Linked DNA regions of Bombyx mori. The protein of the gene in region 1 purifies or fractionates together with the protein of each later gene. This does not show direct contact. Links are inferred from orthologs where the notes say so. Each region holds a gene or a part of one and is shown in the gene's direction. Other genes may lie near its edges.

The links.
Region 2: the proteins of exosome complex exonuclease RRP44 (region 1) and exosome complex component RRP4 purify together in Drosophila melanogaster (affinity purification with western blotting; 3 studies listed by BioGRID, with this or other methods). This does not show direct contact. The link is inferred for Bombyx mori from reciprocal best matches to the Drosophila melanogaster genes Dis3 and Rrp4.
Region 3: the proteins of exosome complex exonuclease RRP44 (region 1) and exosome complex component CSL4 purify together in Drosophila melanogaster (affinity purification with western blotting; 3 studies listed by BioGRID, with this or other methods). This does not show direct contact. The link is inferred for Bombyx mori from reciprocal best matches to the Drosophila melanogaster genes Dis3 and Csl4.

The regions. Positions count from the first base shown.
Region 1 is NC_085115.1:11,139,620-11,142,895, forward strand, and holds part of exosome complex exonuclease RRP44, read left to right. Parts: intron 1-714; coding exon 715-935; intron 936-2,078; coding exon 2,079-2,247; intron 2,248-3,276.
Region 2 is NC_085121.1:5,598,909-5,602,948, forward strand, and holds exosome complex component RRP4, read left to right. Parts: upstream 1-1,449; 5' UTR 1,450-1,585; coding exon 1,586-1,710; intron 1,711-1,783; coding exon 1,784-2,021; intron 2,022-2,102; coding exon 2,103-2,237; intron 2,238-2,831; coding exon 2,832-3,017; intron 3,018-3,221; coding exon 3,222-3,437; 3' UTR 3,438-3,438; downstream 3,439-4,040. Other genes in the region: mediator of RNA polymerase II transcription subunit 18, read right to left, coding at 203-295.
Region 3 is NC_085132.1:3,512,593-3,516,404, forward strand, and holds exosome complex component CSL4, read left to right. Parts: upstream 1-1,510; 5' UTR 1,511-1,871; coding exon 1,872-2,042; intron 2,043-2,438; coding exon 2,439-2,687; intron 2,688-3,013; coding exon 3,014-3,259; 3' UTR 3,260-3,274; downstream 3,275-3,812.

The DNA.
Region 1 (3,276 bases):
TCAAAGGTTAGCAATGCGGTGGTACCCACCACAAAACGCTGTACGACTATAGCTGCTTTCAGACTACGCTATACTTATAGTACCATATAGTACAGCAGCCTTTACTTGTCCATAACAATATATGGTGTGCGATATTGTTCTGCTATGAACTACATATATACTATATGCTTTTTAATACGCTTTTTATTAGCTTCAGACGTATGTATGTTTGTAACGGAATCTTTGAACATGATTTTGATCCCCTTCAAAACGTCGGATTAACTTGAAATTTGATATACTATTAAGGGCCGATGACAATACAAAATAAAAAAAAATTGAAAATTTTTAAATTCAACTAAAAACTGAAAAATAAATAATAGTTTAAAAAAACTATATTAACAAAATACGCTTTTATAGAAAATCCCACTAAAAAATAGGAAAATAAACTTTAATAAATTTGAATTAAAAATAATGTAAGAAAAAATGAGTTTTATTGTAAAAAAGCGTGGGGTGCATGGTATCAGTAGTTATAAATATTTTATGAACAGATATTAGTAGAAGGGTTATTTTGATAATATCCTAAAAAGCACTTCACGCTTTTTTTTTACAATAAAATCATTTTTTTTTGCACTATTTTTAATTCAAATTTATTGAAATTTATATTCTATTTTTTAGTTTTTTATTTATTATAGCGTAGTTTGAACGCGGCTTAATTAAAAACTGCAAACTTTTCAGGGCTTCGAAATCGACGTGTCAACGAACAAATCGTTTTCGAAATCGCTGAACGAGGCCGTGATACCGGAGCGGCCGTTCTTCAACACGCTGCTGCGCATAATGGCGACGCGCTGCATGCAGCAGGCCGCGTACTTCGTGAGCGGGAGCCTCGCCGCCGACCACTACTACCACTACGGACTGGCCTGTCCCATCTACACGCACTTCACCTCGCCCATACGGAGGTACGTAGCGGCTCTTGCCTTTAACACGTAGACTGCCGTGTAGGTCACCGGTGCCCTACGCGGCGCACTGAAGTTTTTTTTTATTGCTTTCATGAGCGGACGAGCTCACAGCCCACCTAGTGTTACGGCGTCAATGCGCCACCCACCTTGAGATATAAGTTCTAAGGCCTCAAGTATAGTTATAGCGGCTGGCCCACCCTTCAAACCGAAACGCATTGCTGCTTCACGGCAGAAATAGGGACCTACCCGCGCGGACTCACAAGAGGTCCTGCCACCAGTAAAATGTCGATTTCTCTCTTCGATTTTCTTATTAAGGCGCCGGAATATCTAATAGAACCTGAGAAAGACGAACCCGAACAATACTGAGAATGTATCGATTTCTAACAGACATATAAGACTAAAACGTAAATTAAGAGACAAATAAAAGCTAAGTTAGGTAATTCAGGTGCTTTAGTGACAGAAATCGACATTATTACTTCAGTGCACCGCTTAGGGCACCGGTGACCTACATGGCAACGACAACTTCAACCGTGGTGGGGAGGACCCTAAATCGTACCCTAAATCACCTCGTGTGGCATACGCACATTCGCCTTTCGCACCAACATGTCTATTCTGAGAGAGCTTCATATCAAAAGTAGACTTTCCACTATATGCTTTCGTACGGTGTTGGATTTCTTCGGACATATTGCTCGTAAAGAGGGTCACAATCTAGAATAGCAGATGGTGACAGGAAAGGTAGATGGCAAACGTCCCAGAGGACGCAGTCCCACGAGATGGTCGGACCAAATATGATCTTCTCTAAACATCAACTTCTACAATGCGCCCTTCATGAAGCTAAGGATCGCGGCAGATAGAGGAAAATCGTACGGGAGAAATTGATGCAGCGGGGGAATCACGACCCTCAGTAATCAGGAAACCTCAGGACCCTCAGGAAAACCACGCGAGGAGGTATAGGCAAATTGTAATTCGATTTGTATTGTTTACCCTAAACTCTAATGTCGCTTCGGGCGAGCTCAAGATTTAGGGACGATTATCCCCACCATCGCTGTCCCAATATCGCCACTGATTTTAGGGTCGTTTGTGGGCCGCATAAGTTGATAAAAATGTGTATGGTTAAGTATTCTGTCCGGGCGCGGTGTGCAGGTACGCGGACGTGGTGGTGCACCGGCTGCTGGCGGCGAGCGTGGCGGGGGCGGGCCCGCACGCCGCGCTGCTGGACGCGCGCCGCCAGGCCGCGCTCGCCGACACACTCAACTACCGGCACCGCCACGCGCAGCTCGCCGGCCGCGCCTCCGTGGCGCTCAACACTCACGTGCGTACACTCACGCCAACCACGATACCGATTCACTATCGAACAATACGATAATTCAGGCCGCGAATACAAAGTCACGATACGATACTGATTCACTGTCGAACAATACGATAATTCAGGCCGCGAATACAAAGTCACGATACGATACTGATTCACTATCGAACAATACGATAATTCAGGCCGCGTATACAGTCCCCGGCACGTAACTTGGGAAGAGTAGTTAGATGCATACAAGTCGTTTTTTAGATCTCTTTGGTTGTCAAGCGGGACGCGGGGAATGTCGTAGTACCGTTCCGAGCGCGCGATTGGTGAGTCAGACGACCCTCCACTCCCGCACCGCGTCTACGTTCCGTTCGCTCCCGATTACACTTGCGTGTGACAGTTTTTTGTTGAATTAAGTGCACTATGCGCGACCTAACCCTCACTAAGCCAAAACCTTGCCAACTTACGTGTCGGCAAGTATACAAAGTTATTGCTGAACAACGCATCTACAGATGATTCTAGAAACAATCACTTAAGACGTTAGTAGTAAACCTAGTAGTTTATATAGGTAAGCTTTTTTAATTAAAAATAAACATAAGGAATCAGAATTTAGTAATTTCCTTTAAGATTCCGTGTTCATTATTATATACTAATACTAGCTGACCCGGCAAACGTTGTCTTGCCATATATAAGATTTCTAGAGAATTTCTAGTGTAGAAAAAAAATTACTAACTTATTGGAAGTGTATAAGGATGTGCAATATGAGTGAAAAAGGCCTGGAGCGCTGTGAACGATGAGGGAATGTTGTTTAAAAATAACAAAACACCGAACATTAATTGTTTTAATTTATTAAAAGTAATAATTATATATATATATAATTAATTTATTACATAATATTAATCTCTTAATACTGCAGCGTGAACAATATTTTTTGTTAGCCCGTCTTTAGCTAATACAAACAAACTTGATGATTTACCCACTCGAGAGCATACAACGTATAATTGTCCGTGTGAAAAACATGGTGTGCTCAAATCTAAGCCACAAACA
Region 2 (4,040 bases), on another chromosome or scaffold:
TATGTATGTATGGGTTCTGATAATATTTTGAATGTAGTATGTAAACAGATCAAATGGGTCAAAAGAATTGGATACAATAGCTGCAACTATGGTAATTAGTTCTGTTAAGTATGCAATTTATGGAAACTGTAGAAGAATGTAGACTATATTGTAATTATTCTGAAATTTAAAATAGCTGAGCCACTTCAACATCCTGTAGTACCTGAAGTAAGTATTCCTGATTTGGTATAATGTTCGCTTTTAAAGCTTGCGATAAGCTATCTGTAGCTGTTATAGGTGCAGCGTTTGCCGACATTTTATGGAGCTGAAAATCTGAAAACCTACTTCAATAGCAGCTATTTAAAGATTTAAGTTTTGAAGAACTATGTGTGAGCCAAGAAATCATTACACTTATAAACGACTTTTCTGTCTCATAGAGGTGCATTCAGTCTAAATAGTCCATATAACCGAAACTATAAATATTGCGTAAAATAAAAAACTAGGCAATTTTAAAGGAGAAAATAAATTCTAATTTCTAATTAACATAATCTAAATACTCATATTGGAATTTAACAAGGTAGAGATATGTTTGCAATCGCTGTTAGCTTGACAGTTACTAACAATGTTGACATTTAGCCTCATTTAGGTGACATTTTGTAATTTCCTTTTTCAAATACAGGAGAGAGAGGCAATGGTATCGCATCATATTATCATATTGGTACGGCCGTATTTGTTTTTAAACATTTTTTGTCACCAATGATTCTACATGCGAGGAGTGAAATTGTGTGATTTGTTTTATTTTGTCTATTTAGTGTGTCTTCAGGTTTAAACCTGTAATAACGGTTGTTTATTAACTGTTCAATATCTATGAAAGTGCACCAATGTGGGAAAATGAAACCAAGCCGCTGGACGTAACTTCTCGGGATCGTCCAAAAAGGCCAAAATCTCAGTAAATAACCGTCATTTTAGTGAGATTGTATTTCATCCCTTATCATCTGTTCAGTTCTCGTTCAATCACATGAATGAACAATGAGTGTGAAGAGTTAATCATTAATTTCAAACTATAAAAGAATATTATTTATATTTTACAATAAAATTGTATTAAAGTGCTCCAATATATGTTACTAGTAGTATGTAACTACAATTACTTTTTTTTATTTTCATTACATACCTATAATTGTTATATTTTATACATCTATAATTTCAACTATATGATGTATTGGAAATAGGACAGTCTTACAAGCTTCCTCGCAATGTTTTTCTTAATGTTTAAAACACTCGGTATTCAGTGCAGGTAGATACTATAGGAACATAATATTTCGTCGAAAACTCATTGGTTGTACAAAGCACGCCTAAAATTCGAACCCCGTACCCGATATCGGCAATTCGGCACACTAACTATTCACTAGACAATCGAGGCAATTTCATTAATTCAGGAGTTTTTTCAATCGTTCACTTTGTCACAACACTATTTTTATTTCATCAAAACCTGACAACACAGTAAACGTCAGTTGACTTCGTCTAATAAAAAATCCGACTATAGGTCTATGAGTTCGTTGTACACAATTCACAATTAGCAAAGAGGGAGCTTAAAAAAACATTAGAAATGGTCAGTCATGTATCTATAAAACTCGCATCTGAAAGAGTAAATCATTCGGTTGCCTCAAATAATGACCCGCCGCGTTTTTACACTCCTGGCGAAGTCATAACTGGGATACAAGATTTTATGAGGTCGGTATTTTTTGCGAAAACAATATTGTTAAGAATTATTATTACTATAAATTTAATAATTTTGCACTTTAAGAGGCCACGGAACTTACGCAGAAGATGATTGCCTAAAAGCATCTGTTGCTGGGGTTATGCAAAAAGTAAATAAACTTATATGCATTCGCCCATTGAAGAGTCGTTACGTTGGAGAAATAGGCGATGTGGTAGTCGGAAGAGTATTGGAAGTTCAACAGAAAAGATGGAAAGTTGATACCAATTCACGACTTGATTCAATACTTCAACTTTCTTCAGTAAATCTACCTGGCGGAGAATTGGTAAATTAACGCACACTTCCATAATATAAAGCAATCTTCTTGTATCTAATGATAACTATTTATATATTTTTTTAAATCCAGAGAAGGCGTTCAGAAGAGGATGAGCAGATGATGAGAAAACATTTACAGGAAGGTGATTTGATAAGCGCTGAAGTACAGAATGTATTTTCTGATGGTTCGCTCTCATTGCATACAAGAAGTTTGAAATATGGCAAGGTAATCAGATTTTATGAAGCCAATAAAAAATGACTATTCTAAAGTTCAACAAGAATGTTATAAGGAAATTAAAAATATTCAAATATGTAGCAACATTAAATTTTGAAATCCTCCAAAGTGAAGATGATATTTATCCTTCTGAGTAGATTAAACATGCTTCATTAGCAAATTGATTACAAGTCTACACAAACACTTAAATCTGCTTTAATTCACTACCTATATGTTTAAATAAATAAAATCAAGGGGCGTAAGGCTATTTGTTTTAAGTGACACTTCGCTTACTACATGGCATCTATCTGTGTAATTAAAGGTAAATTTTATTTGGTATTAGTTTATACAATTAATTGTTTTTAATTGAACACCAATTAAGTATTCTCCATTGAAATAGCTGGAGAAGTTTTGTCATGTTTTTTTTTCAATTTTTAAATTACATGACTTTCCTCTAAACCAAATAGCCCTTCATACCTTAAAATAGAATCATTCATACAGTCCTCTAATAATAATTAATATCACAAAATGTTGAACTTTCTACTCCTTGCTAATACTAAAAAAAAATTAATTTAAGAGTTTGTTCGAAAACTTTATTTTTTGCAGCTTTCACAGGGAACTTTAATAAAAGTATTCCCGTCATTGATAAAGCGCAGAAAAAATCATTTTCACAACTTACCATGTGCAGTATCTGTCATAATAGGGAATAATGGATATATATGGATTAGTCCACACAAAAGTGATATTCTTATGGAAGGAAATAAGGATGCAATTGAAAATTATGAAATTCAGGTGGGTTAATGCTATCAGTGTGCAGTGTTCGGGAATAGGAGTTAAGAAAGATAAACGATAAACACAAGTTAAAGATTTATTATATCATTTTCACTAAACTTTGTGTTTTTCCATGTTTTAAGAAAATAGAACTCATGCATGTTCTCATGCCCTCATGAAATTGTTGCATATGCTAATATGATGCTGATATCATTTTTATTGCAGCCTGTTGGGAAATCAGAAAGAGAAACGATGGCGCGAGTGAAAAATTGTATTTTGGCACTTGTGGCATCTAAGATGATGTTAGATGATACTAGCATAATGTTTGCATTCGAAGAAAGTCTCAAATACGACAATGTAAAGGAACTCTTGGATCCTGAAGCTATGCTTGACGTAGCATTTTTAACTCAGCATAGAATAAATATTATTGCAGAAGAGTGACTTTATTGTGTTTTAATTATAGCTAGAAAATATTAATAATAAAGGAAATACAGCTTTTTCAATACCACAAAGTTTTCTGTAAATTGCAATTCACTATGGATAGGGCGAACTGATCGTTCTATGTAAATCTGTGTACAATTGCGCTTACGTTTTGTATGGATGGTTGAGTTTCGAAATCGTCGTGGCCTAAAGGATAAGACGTTCGGTGCATTCGTATCTAGCGATGCAACGATGTTGGAATCCCGCAGGCGGGTACCAATTTTTGTAATGAAATACGTACTTAACAAATATTCACGATTGACTTCCACGGTGAAGGAATAATATCATGTAATAAAAATGAAACCCGCAAAATTATAATTTGCGTAATTACTGGTGGTAAGACCTCTTGTGAGTCCGCATGGGTAGGTACCACCACCCTGCCTGTTTCTGCCGTGAAGCAGTAATGCGCTCCGGTTTGAAGGGTGGGGCAGTCGTAACCATACTGAGACCTTAGAACTTATATGTTAAGGTAGGTGGCGGCGTTTAAGTTGTAGATGTCTATGGGGTCCAGTAACCACTTAACACCAGGTGGGCTAAGAGCTCGTCTACCCATCTAAGCAATAA
Region 3 (3,812 bases), on another chromosome or scaffold:
GCCCATAGACATCTACAACGTAAATGCGCCATCCATTTTGAGATATAAGTTCTAAGGTCTCAAGTATAGTTACAACGGCTGCCCCACCCTTCAATCCGAAACGCATTACTGCTTCACGGCAGAACTAATGCTGGTACCTACCCGCGCGGACTCACAAGAGACCCTACCACCAGTAATTACGCAAATTATAATTTTGCGGGTTTGATTTTTATTACACGATGTTATACCTCCACCTTGGGAGTCAATCGTGAACATTTGTTGAGTACGTATTTCATTAGTAAAATTGGTACCCGCCTGGGATTCGAAACACCGGTGCATCGCTCAACACGAATGCACCGGATGTCTTATCCTATAAGCCAAGACGATGTTAGCTGTGAGTGTTTTGAGTTAATAATATAAATAAGGTTCAAAAATCATTTATTTCAACTTAGATGTCAGTATAACATAGATTTTCACGAACCATATCGTAGCACTAACAATAATCAGTAATTAATTATGTAGATAAAATATATTATTATGGCTAGTAAGATTTTACGAAAATAAGTGAGAATATTTTGCATCATCCAAGTCGATTATGATATTTTAGTAGATGAAATAATAGAGGAAAAACAAATACTGGTGGTAGTGGTGGTGGTACCCTCTTCCTTACTAACGTTTTTTCCGTGGTAGGGAGACGAGCACACGTTCCACCTGGTAAGTAGTCAAAGTAGTAAAGTGGAAAGCCAGCAACGCCATTGCTTACTGCAACAATATTTTTTAATTATTTAGACGAGTGAGAGACGAGACAAAGTCCAGGCCCATCTGGTATTAAGTGGTCACTAGAGCCCATAGACATTTTTTGATTCAATTTTTCCTTATTAGGAAAGGCAAGGGGATCTAAACCCATACAGCCTTGTGTGTTGTATATAATTTCTAAAATGAATTTTCAAAAAAGCCGAAGCCAGGTCTTATATGATTTATATTATATCCTGAAATAAAAAAATCATTAAGGCAGAAGCCAAGTCCTTTATAATTTCTTTCTGAAATAAAACCCAGAGACATCGTAACCTTAATGCCACTATCGATCCCTAGATATGAGTTTTAAGTCTCAGTATTAAAGTACAACAGCTGCCCCATCCTTCATACAGAAATGCATTACTGCTTCGTGACAGAATAATTGAATAGGCAGAGTACTGGTATTTGCTTGTGCTGGCTCACACCACCAATGAATGATCTACAGTAAATCCACATTAGTTCCAGTAGTACCAGTCGACAACGCAAATATTTTTATTATTCTTGGTTTACAAGGTCCTCGCACCTAAGGGGCACGTGGAGAAAAGCTTACCTGAGATCAAAATGTAAATAGCCCAACGTGGGTCTCGAATGACGACTCTGAGATTATGAGTCTCATGCTCTGACTGAGTTATCCGGGATTTTACAAAGGGAATGTCACATCTCAACAATTTAAATAAAAATTGATTTCGTTGCGTTGTACGTTTCATGGAAGAAATGTCACCCTCTATTACGAAATGATTAAGCTCTATAAACTTTGTTTCTTTTACTTAATTAATCAAAGAACGAACAAAAAAACATTTGCACTTTTGTATAATCTATGATTTCACTACGCGATTAAAAAAAAGATCATAACCATAGATTATACACCTAATTTATTTGAGAATCTTATCTTCGCTAGAAGTAATAGTGTTCTGTGATCTTAACTTATGTACATAACAAATAACAAACTGTAACTGGAATTAATAAACAACACAGTTCAACACACTATTATAAGACAGTTTACAATTAAAGACACGTTTTAGCTGTGACGAAAATAATCTAACCGAACTTTAAGTTGTAGTTCAAGTTAAATTGTAAATTCTAACCTCTACTACATTATGAATTTGGAAGAAAAAATAAAAGAAATAGGTTCAATATGTATTCCTGGAATGCGACTGAGTTTATCAAACAAAGACAACGTATCAGGGCCGGGAACCTATGAATTGAAAGGATATATTTATGCGGCTTTAGCTGGAATCTTGAAAACAGAAGAGGATGAAAACACCAAAGTAAATAACGTTACAGTCTTTGTATAAGCTGCCACTGATTGCTAAAACGATTTTATTGCAACCGTCATCCGTGCCTCTTTAATTGTGACTTAAAATGCCCATAAATATGCTCTGCAAAACACTACATTACCATGGACGAAGATAGGTACTGTAGCTTAACAGGTATATCATATGGAATTTACTGCCTGTAGAAGACACTTATGGACACTCGGTTTTATGGTCTTTAGTTTAGGCTTGCTCACTATTTCAAGCAGACGCTTCTTTTAGCAGCAGAATATTTTTTTATGCAATAGCAGATGAAATTCTAAATTCACCCCAGAATTCTATTTCAACAAAATAGAAAATGAAACAAATGAAAAAACCTATAAATTAAACTAATGATTGAAAATTTTTTAGGCTAATATAATTTCAGTAGAAAGTTCAAGAACACCAAGTGTTTTACCCAACACAGGTGACATAGTAACCGCAAAAGTAACAGTTGTAAATCCAAGAACTGTACAATGCCTAATCCTCTGTGTTGGCCCTTCAGTACTTGTTAGAATGTACAAAGGAATATTAAAAAAAGAAGATATAAAGGCAACAGAGAAAGACAGAGTTGATCCATATAAATGTTTTAGACCTGGAGATATTATACTAGCTAGAGTTGTATCCTTTACAATATTATAAACTTGTTAGTATTCAAAAAACCTTTTCACTTTTAATAATGACTTACTCTTTGTTTGTATTTGACTCATTAGATGGGTCTTTACATTATGTACTAACCTTATAGTTTGCCTACCACATGAAACACTTGAGCATTGTGGGATTTTGGAGTCACATTTGCTTAGAAATTATGATTATACTGCAAAATAGAATGCAGTTTTGGTTTTGTATAACATCAAACTCTATGTCTACTCAAGCTTGAAAAATACATCTATTATATTCACTGAATATTAAATAATATATAATCATTTTCCTAAACTGGAATTCAGTTACCAATGACGGAAATCCACTGGTACCAATTATCGACTGCAGAAAATGAACTGGGAGTTGTTATCGCTACAGCTGAAGGATCACCGCAAGGGGTCAGCATGGTACCAATAAGCTGGTCAGAGATGCAGTGCCCTAAAACTCTAGTCAAAGAACCAAGGAAAGTTGCTAGAGTTATACCGGAAAATATTAATCAATCACTCTTTCCAGTTCATTCAAAGCAAGACAATCATCACACTGATAAATAATTTTTATTTCAATTACAGACATGTTTTATTTTATTAAATTTTAGGCAAACAATGTATTCATAAAAAATTATATTAACTCTAATCTATTTCTGAAACTTGGAATGTTGATTATGAGAGTAAAACTATTACCAAAGTCAAGGGTTAAAAATTTTTGCTGACTGTTGAATACTCGCAAACTCTGGGTATTAATTTGGCTGTAACCAAGCACATTGGTTTTAGTCTAAGGTAGTACCCCTGAACACCAGCTGTACCGCTTCGGCGGCCTTGTTAACATATTCGTTTTTCTGGGTTACTCCCACGGACTGCATTCTTCAAGCAGCAACAAAACATAATAACTAAAAGTTTAAGTGTACTTTTTTCACCTTGAAGGATTGACATCATGTAATAAAAATCAAACCTGTAAAAATTTTAATTTCCATAATAATTGGTTTTCATTTCCATTGGCTTATTTTTTCCTGAAGCGTTAGGTAATGAGTTACAGTTGTACAGACTGTAAGGACACATGTCTTAAGAAAGGACGGCAGTTGATAATATCTGTAGTAGTGGTGGGCAA